Saccharomyces cerevisiae S288C: one gene and its partner. Changing the gene in region 2 together with the main gene of any one other region gives a genetic interaction. Each region holds a gene or a part of one and is shown on either strand. Other genes may lie near its edges.

Evidence for each region.
Region 1: of FRE7 (region 2) and FRE1, extra expression of one rescues a mutant of the other (dosage rescue), as found in Saccharomyces cerevisiae (one study listed by BioGRID).

Annotation. Positions count from the first base shown.
Region 1 is NC_001144.5:566,848-570,781, reverse strand, and holds FRE1 (ferric/cupric-chelate reductase), read right to left. Parts: upstream 2,216-3,934; coding exon 155-2,215; downstream 1-154. Other genes in the region: cell proliferation protein CDC123, read left to right, coding at 1-6; CRR1 (putative glycosylase), read left to right, coding at 2,860-3,934.
Region 2 is NC_001147.6:38,649-42,582, reverse strand, and holds the start of FRE7 (putative ferric-chelate reductase), read right to left. Parts: upstream 1,836-3,934; coding exon 1-1,835. UniProt on the Saccharomyces cerevisiae protein: Cell surface metalloreductase. May be involved in copper homeostasis.

The DNA of each region.
Region 1 (3,934 bases), on a different chromosome or scaffold from region 2:
ACTTAGATTTAGAACCCGCATTTGAATATATTCGTCTTTTTATTACCCTGTTGTATGATTATATAAAATTATTTACATCGATTTATATTAACTTTTATCCGATAAAGCAACAAAATAACAAAAGTATGCGTGCAAGAATTATTAACAAGGGGCCTTACCATGTAAAACTTTCTTCTTCTAGTTCAACGTCAATCTTCAAGGAAGAGTCTATACCTTGGACCACTGCATTTCTAAAATCGTCGTTAAACGTTGCTGGCCCGCAGGAATAAAAGGTAATATTATTATTCTCTAGTTCTGAGAGTTTTATTTCCGAGCGCACTAGTTCTTTCAAATCAGGTCTTTTATTGAGACATTCAACAGTGATTTCGCTTTCTTCTTTATCATCAAAACCTTTTGTACTCTCATCTGAATTTGTGTCCTCAACACTGGAACCAGTATATATGACTGAGACTTCACAACTTTTCTCCTTTAACCATTGCAATTCATTTTCAAACCATTTCAAATGGGATAGGTCATTAACAATCCAGTAAAATTTATGCTGAAGTTGATCAGTAGATGGTAACCGTAAACATTCGACAAAGTGCGGATAAATAGCCGCAACACCCAAACCAGCGGCTACACCTACCAGATTTCTTTTTAGCTTAGCGATATGTGGAACCGTTACACCATATGGGCCTTCAAGGAATATTTTACAATCAACAGTATGATTTGGAGCACTTAGAACTTTCGATAACAAAACTCGAGTGATACCTTTATTTGCCTTTACGTACATCGTCAATTGATCTGGATTGTTTGGATCACGGTGTCGTTCCGATAATACTGTAAATGGATGTGATTGGAAACTATAGAACCATGCACTTTTTGGTGATAAGAAATACATGTATGCGAAAGCTCCTACTTGGTACTTGAAAAACTTTGGTTTTTTTACTGAAATTTTAATAACATTAGAATCATCAGTGGTACTCAAAGTAGCAGTTTTCAAGCCACCATTCATGATTATTCTAACAATCCTGCAGAATCTATCAAAGCATAAAATACCAGCCATTGACCAAATCCAACCCATCCAGCCCAGGGTGTGACAATGGTAGTACATGGCAATAATGAACATAATATTCATCGCTTTATGAATAAGAAGGAATATCTCATACCCTCTATTTCTAAATACTTTTTCACTTTGGAAAATAATAATAGACATTAATATCGTTGCCACTATACCCCACCTAAAGTAAAATTTCCTAACCAGACTTTGAAACACACCTCTTTTCACTCCCGAGGCGGTCATGACAATTGAGTGTACAACGGCCAACATGAAACAAACGTAGGCAGACCATTTATGATAGAAATTAAATGTAGAAAAGGAAAGCCCTGTTATAGGGATGAAGGGATTATTTCTTATTCCGAATAGATAGACTACTGGGAAAAGTGCAATGGCCATCAAGTCTGCTCTACGACTCACAAAGGCCATACTTCTTCTCCATCTGGGCCTATCATATGGGTGTGGAAGTTTAATATTATGACCAAAACTGAGAGATAATATAGTCAAAATAACAAAAATTAATACGACGAGACCCTTGCCTCGAGTTGTAAAATTAAATGGTAGACGCTTCCATAAATAAAAAGTTCGTTCATTATAATCTTTGTAAACAGAAGGATAAATAAGTGATTTTTTGACGGAGTTTGCCATGATGTTCTTACCAAACACCCTTTTCAGAATGTTCAAGATAGTGGCTGCAGTAAGCACAGCCACCCAGAAGAAGACGAGACCCCAAGCGCACCATTGAGAGCGCATTAGGTTAAGATGGATACCATAATTTTCCTCATAATAATAATGATACGCTGTCTCGTTCGCCATGAGCGGTTGACTAACCACGGTTTTTTTATCACTTTTCTCAGGTGCTCTCAAATAATTTGACGCATTTAAATAAATATTCTTCATGTCCTCTAAAGTATAAACTTTGATGCTTGAACATTGGGATGCTAACTTCATTAAGGCGCTGTCTAGTGTTTTGTTAGATTTGGAATTCTCATAGGCACATGCTGTCACTGAACCCAGCCAATTGATGTTTTTACAGTAGCAACTTTTAGATTTACTAGAACATCCAAATTGGTATAGCGCAGCTTGGGAAATACATGAAGTGCTAATAAGTGTAGCACTCGATTGAACCGTAGCAAAAAAAGATATAAATAAGCAGAATAATACACGGGTTCTAACCATATTGATCCGGCTCGTTCTTCCGTCGGCGTGAATATGCGAGAAATTAGATGATTATATTACCTTCCAAAAGGGAACTGAAGCATGGAAGAGAGCAAACGACTTCAAAACTGAGATTTTTACATGATTTAAGTATCCATCGCTGTAGATTAATCATCGCAAGATCAGGCACTTTAAGTTCCTTGAGAGAACGATCTAGCCTTGAGGATATTAGAAATTGGGTGTATTAGTAAATCAAAGTCGAGCCGCTATAACAATTTTCGATGAGCAAAAAAAAAAGGTGAGCAAAAATATCGGCGAAAATGTTTGGGTTGGGAGTAGATTCTCACCAAGATTGCCACAGTTAGTGTTCTTGGCAATTGCTGCAAACCCGTCAAGCAACCTAAATACATTTTTATCGGGTATTCTTCAACTATTGTACCGCTCTTTACTGTCAATTGCATCTGCCGTACTTTTCATTTACTTCTTATGTGCTCGTTCTACTATACTTTTAAAGGCGTCACAAAAATTATGTAAAGCCTCGCGACGATCATGTAGGAAAAAAAAAAAAAAGACAATACCAGCTAATAATTATCGATTAATAACGAAATACAAGAACAGTCGTTTAGTTTAGAGTATCATCAAGGGCTTTTGCACGAAATAAAAATATGAGAATATCAATATTACAGCTGGTGCCGGTTGTTGGCTACATCGGATTTGCACTGGGAGAATTATACAAACCCAAAAACTCCATTTCTTGTTCTCCAAATAACCCTTGTCCCGCAGAATGGCCGTGCTGCTCGCCGTATAATGAATGTGGCGCTGGACCGATATGTGTCGGTGGCTGCAACGTGAGGTCATCTTTCGACGAGGAAAGCTGTGCTCCTATACCTGCATTAGTCGCCAGTCAAAAACTTGAATTTGTTAGCACACCAAAGGTTCCTAAATTTATTGTGAACTATCAACCTAAGCCACCAATAAGAGAGGGAAATGGACCGAATAAGGCAAATACCAAGGTGGGTGTAGTAGAAGGGGAGCTAAATTCCAAGAGAATCATACACTACGCCAAATTCTTGGTCACTCCAGACAGTAAAGAGGCAGAGAAAATGTTGGAAGATTTCGATTTCACACATAGCGGCTACACATCAATTGAAGCGAGTAGCGGGAATATTGTTCTGGCTATGCCAAAAAAAACTACCGGAAGTTTGATCACATCGACCAGGTCGTTTCTATACGGCAAGGCAAGCGTGCGAATGAAAACGGCGAGGTCGAGGGGTGTGGTGACTGCATTTGACTTAACATCCGCAATTGGGGACGAGATTGATTTTGAGTGGCTGGGTGGTGATTTAATGACGGCCCAATCAAACTACTATTCTCAAGGGCATTTGGATTACACAAGAATGCAAAGATTTCCCGTAGGCGCTGACACTTGGGCCACTTACCACACTTATGAGATTGATTGGGACCCGGATAGGATAATATGGTATGTTGATGGTAAAATAGCTCGCACAGTCCTGAAGAAGGATACCTGGGACCCCATTAGTAAAGAATATAGGTACCCACAAACGCCGATGAGACTAGAAATCGCTGTTTGGCCAGGCGGCTCGGAAACCAACGGACCCGGTACAATAAACTGGGCAGGTGGCCTCATAGATTGGGAAAATTCACCCGATATTATCGAAAAGGGCCAATTTACGGCGCATGTTGAACAAATCACCGTAACGCCGTACCAAAATAAATTCA
Region 2 (3,934 bases):
TAGCACTCTTCGACATTTTTGTTAGAAAAAACCTTGGCCTGTAAACCTGCCACGGAATTTCCGACGGTATACCTTAGGCTGTCAGAACCTGAACAAATGAAGCAGTTCCTGAACCCAATTTGGTAATCATTAATGACCTGATTCAAATCAGGTTTGGAAGGAATAATGGTGATGAGACCTTTATATTCGTTATTGGATTTGTCGAAAGTTGAATTTGACTCAGTATCATCCTGGCCGAATTCGGTATCTTTTTCTCTTTTAGCTAAATCAGATTGGTCACTGGCGGTGTCTATTGTTTGAGGGAAAGTTTTAATAATACCAGGGACGGTACTGTCCGAGCAGACGTAAATTCTAACCACAATTTTCCCATCTAAAAATAACTGGCGCAAATTATTTGAGAGGGTACACATTTCATCTCTAATCCATGATATATCCTCCCTATGTCTTACCACCCAGTCCAATGTAATAACTTCTAAGTTTGTCTTATGGAGTATGGGGCCATATTTTTGCAGGAAAGGTAAGCATGTAGATATACCTGAACCAGAGCAAATCAAGTAGACATTGGTAAAACTTCTAATATCTCTCTCGATTCCACCATAAGGCCCATCAATAAGAATTTTCTTCATGTCGTCATTACTTTCGTATAGCCTTTTAGAAAACCCTTTCTGGGCTCTAATCAGCATTTTTATTCCTCCGGGATACTTTGCACTCGGAAAGATAGAAAATGGATGGTTGGAAATGATGCCCTTATCAATAGTTCTCACGAATATGTGTTGACCTGGGGAATAGGCCATTTCCACATCTTTGACGATCAATTCTACGCATCCTTCGCCGACTATGCTGACATTTGCAATGGTCGAGGCCATGAAACTTCTACCAGGTCTTAAATAACCCTTCACAGCTAGTCTGTAAAACAGTTGTGCAAACCAAACCACAATTGTAGCAACCAGATACATATGGGAATTCAATTCGGGATATACATGATAGAACAAACTAATGTAAAATCCAACAGCTAAAATCCAATGAAGTTGCAAAAAAATCTCATAAAAATGTCTTCTAGCAATAGGCAGCGAAGATAACCATAGCAGATTCAAAAATAAGATGGGTGGGACACCACTCCTCCACATGTCGGATGCCTTCCACCGTTGATGCATTCTTTCATATCCTCCCTCATGTCGTGCTTGACGTAGGAAGGGAATGACATGAACCCAGCTAAAGAATAAACAAAGAATGGATGCCCATTGGTGGTATATGTTGATTTTTTCATACGAAAGCCCAACCAACCAACCTATAACGTTGATCTTCCCGGAAAGTGAGAATACAAACGGAACCAAAGATATTGCCATTATGCCTGCACGAACAGACAAAGGCGGCGAACCAAATCCTGCACAAGGTCTGTAGAATGGATGAGGAACAAAGCAGTATAGAAGTGTGTATAAAGTGGTAGCCATTACTACTAAAAAAGTACCCACAGATGTCGGAATACCTAAATAAGAAAATATCAACGTGGGAAATTTCCTGTAGCAAATGTATCTGTTGAATGCGACAAGTTTCGTCATTATTCGAGCAAGGAATACAGAAGGGGTAGTCGGCGAGTTCTTCTTTTCTGGAAGAAATTCCTCACTGGAATCATAATACATAAATGCCAGCTTTTTTATCAAAGACAAAAAAATTATCACAGCGACAAAGTAAGTGACGAATTTTCCGTATTGTTTTTGGTACACCCATGGTGTCGCTGCCTGCGATTCTTTTTTTAACCTGGCGTATAGTTCGGAGTGGATGTCAGCAATACAATGGATACCATTGCTTAAAACCAAATCTCTTTCTTCAATCATTTTATTATTTATCGATGTATATAAATAAACTTTGAAATAAAAATTTGAAATATCCCTTTACTTGCAATAAAAAACTTTTAGTATTGGTAATAAAGGCATGGTTTATATGATCTTGAGAACAAACGAGTGCATAATGAAGAAGTACTTCAGAGATTTTAAGAAGTGAATTTGCGCAAATGCTCACGTATTAATGCGCAGTTATACATCCTGCTTAACTAAGAAATATGCGCGGTACATCCAGATGCGAGCACTATAATTTGACACTTTTCCAAATATAATAAGCTTGGCAAACGGGCATTTCGGCTGCGTTACTTGAAACGTATATCGACTTTTTCAATTTGCGCAGACGAGGATTTTCAACCGCATTTTCTGAAAATAGTGAGCACATAGTATGACAGAAGGAGGTTATTTCAAACATGTCTTGTTTAATGGCGGTCACTTATATGTGGAAAAAATATCCTCCTTGTTCATTGGCCATCCAAATACAGGCGTATGCTCTTGTAATAACATACTGTAGTTGCCTAATAAACTTGAGGGATCTTCTATTGGTCAGAGATGTTCAGTAAGTCGTGGCGTATAGATCCCCTTTGCAGTTTAAGATACTTTCGTATTATCTGTTATCTTCATTTTGTGTCTAAAACCATTAATAAATGACCAGGAAATGCGCTACTGTCACTATAGGTATTTCAGGATGTCATTGGCTGTATCCAGATAAATTCAGAGAATATCAATCACTCCCTATGTTGGCGTTCTTGTAAAGTAAGAGTCACAAAATAGGATGCTATCAAAATAAAAACTTCAAAAGATGATGCATGGATGTACAGACATAGTCAGAAACCATAATGTAGTTTTATCATAGTTCAATTGGTCAAACACTGCTGCGGCTGTCATTACGCTGGTGGCATGATGAAACTTTTGTTATGAACAACTCTCCAGGTCCTTGTTGTCTCTGTATTTGGCACTGAGAGCGCGTCCACTTGAGGTAAGACACTGGAGCAAAAGAGTATAGTATTCTATAGAACAAATAAATGGGTGATGGGCTGATGTTACTTATAGAAAACTCAATTTCGTTATTATATGGATAATTACCGTGGGAATATATGGGCAGTCTCAGGCATTTTTAGCCGGGGAGTATTCCTCTAGGCATCCCTCTGCTATCCTGTGATTGTGGAAAAGCGTTTTTCAAAGACATATATTGAAGTCTACATAGCATTAAGTGAGCAGCGTTAATCGTTTGCAATGTTCTCATATACATGTCATTATTATTTGTAGTGGCATCTTTGGTTGTAAATATCCCAGCGTTGTGCAGGAATATTCAAACGACATTTTCCTGAAGTTGTATAGACCAACTCAAAATAACTATAGCTGCTTTAATATATTTTAGCAGGTTAACTCAAACATCTGCAAAGTAGCATAAACTATCACGTTGAAGATAGCATAGATAAGAAGTTCATACTTTCGTCGTTACTGTTCAAGAGACAATTGATTAGTATTGCACCTAAATATGTGGTACGGTAAGACCTGGGGTGTTAGTGAATGCATAACCGTCAGTCCATCTGCAAATAGCAGTAAGGATTGGCTTTAAGAAATTCGTTGGTTCCTATTAACGTGGCGTAAAACAATGATATAGTATGGGGGAAGTTGATTGACACGACATGATTGCATTAGGCACGTACCCGATTCTTTGAAAATTATGTCCTTTAATAAGTCGGATCTATATATAAGATTATCAGATGACTATTTTCTGCGGCTGCAACTTTGAGTTCGGTAAAATTAATCACTTGATTACTAAATAGCATGTATATAACATGGTCGAAAATTTGACTCAGGGTCGGTGAAATAAAAGTCAATGAGAGCATTTAGAATAAATTAACATTATGGTAAAGCGGACTTTTCTCTCTGTTCTTTTTCTTAATCTTGCATATGCACTACAGGTCGGGCTTTAAATGAGGGTGCTCTAAAGCCTTGGTCGAAGGAGTGCATATTTCGGATTCTTTTTCATTTCATGGTCTCTGGAGAAAAATCCTCGACAATATATATTTTCTAAGGGGTGCTTAAAAAGGGGAACATAGAAGATATACAAGCAACTACATTAAAAC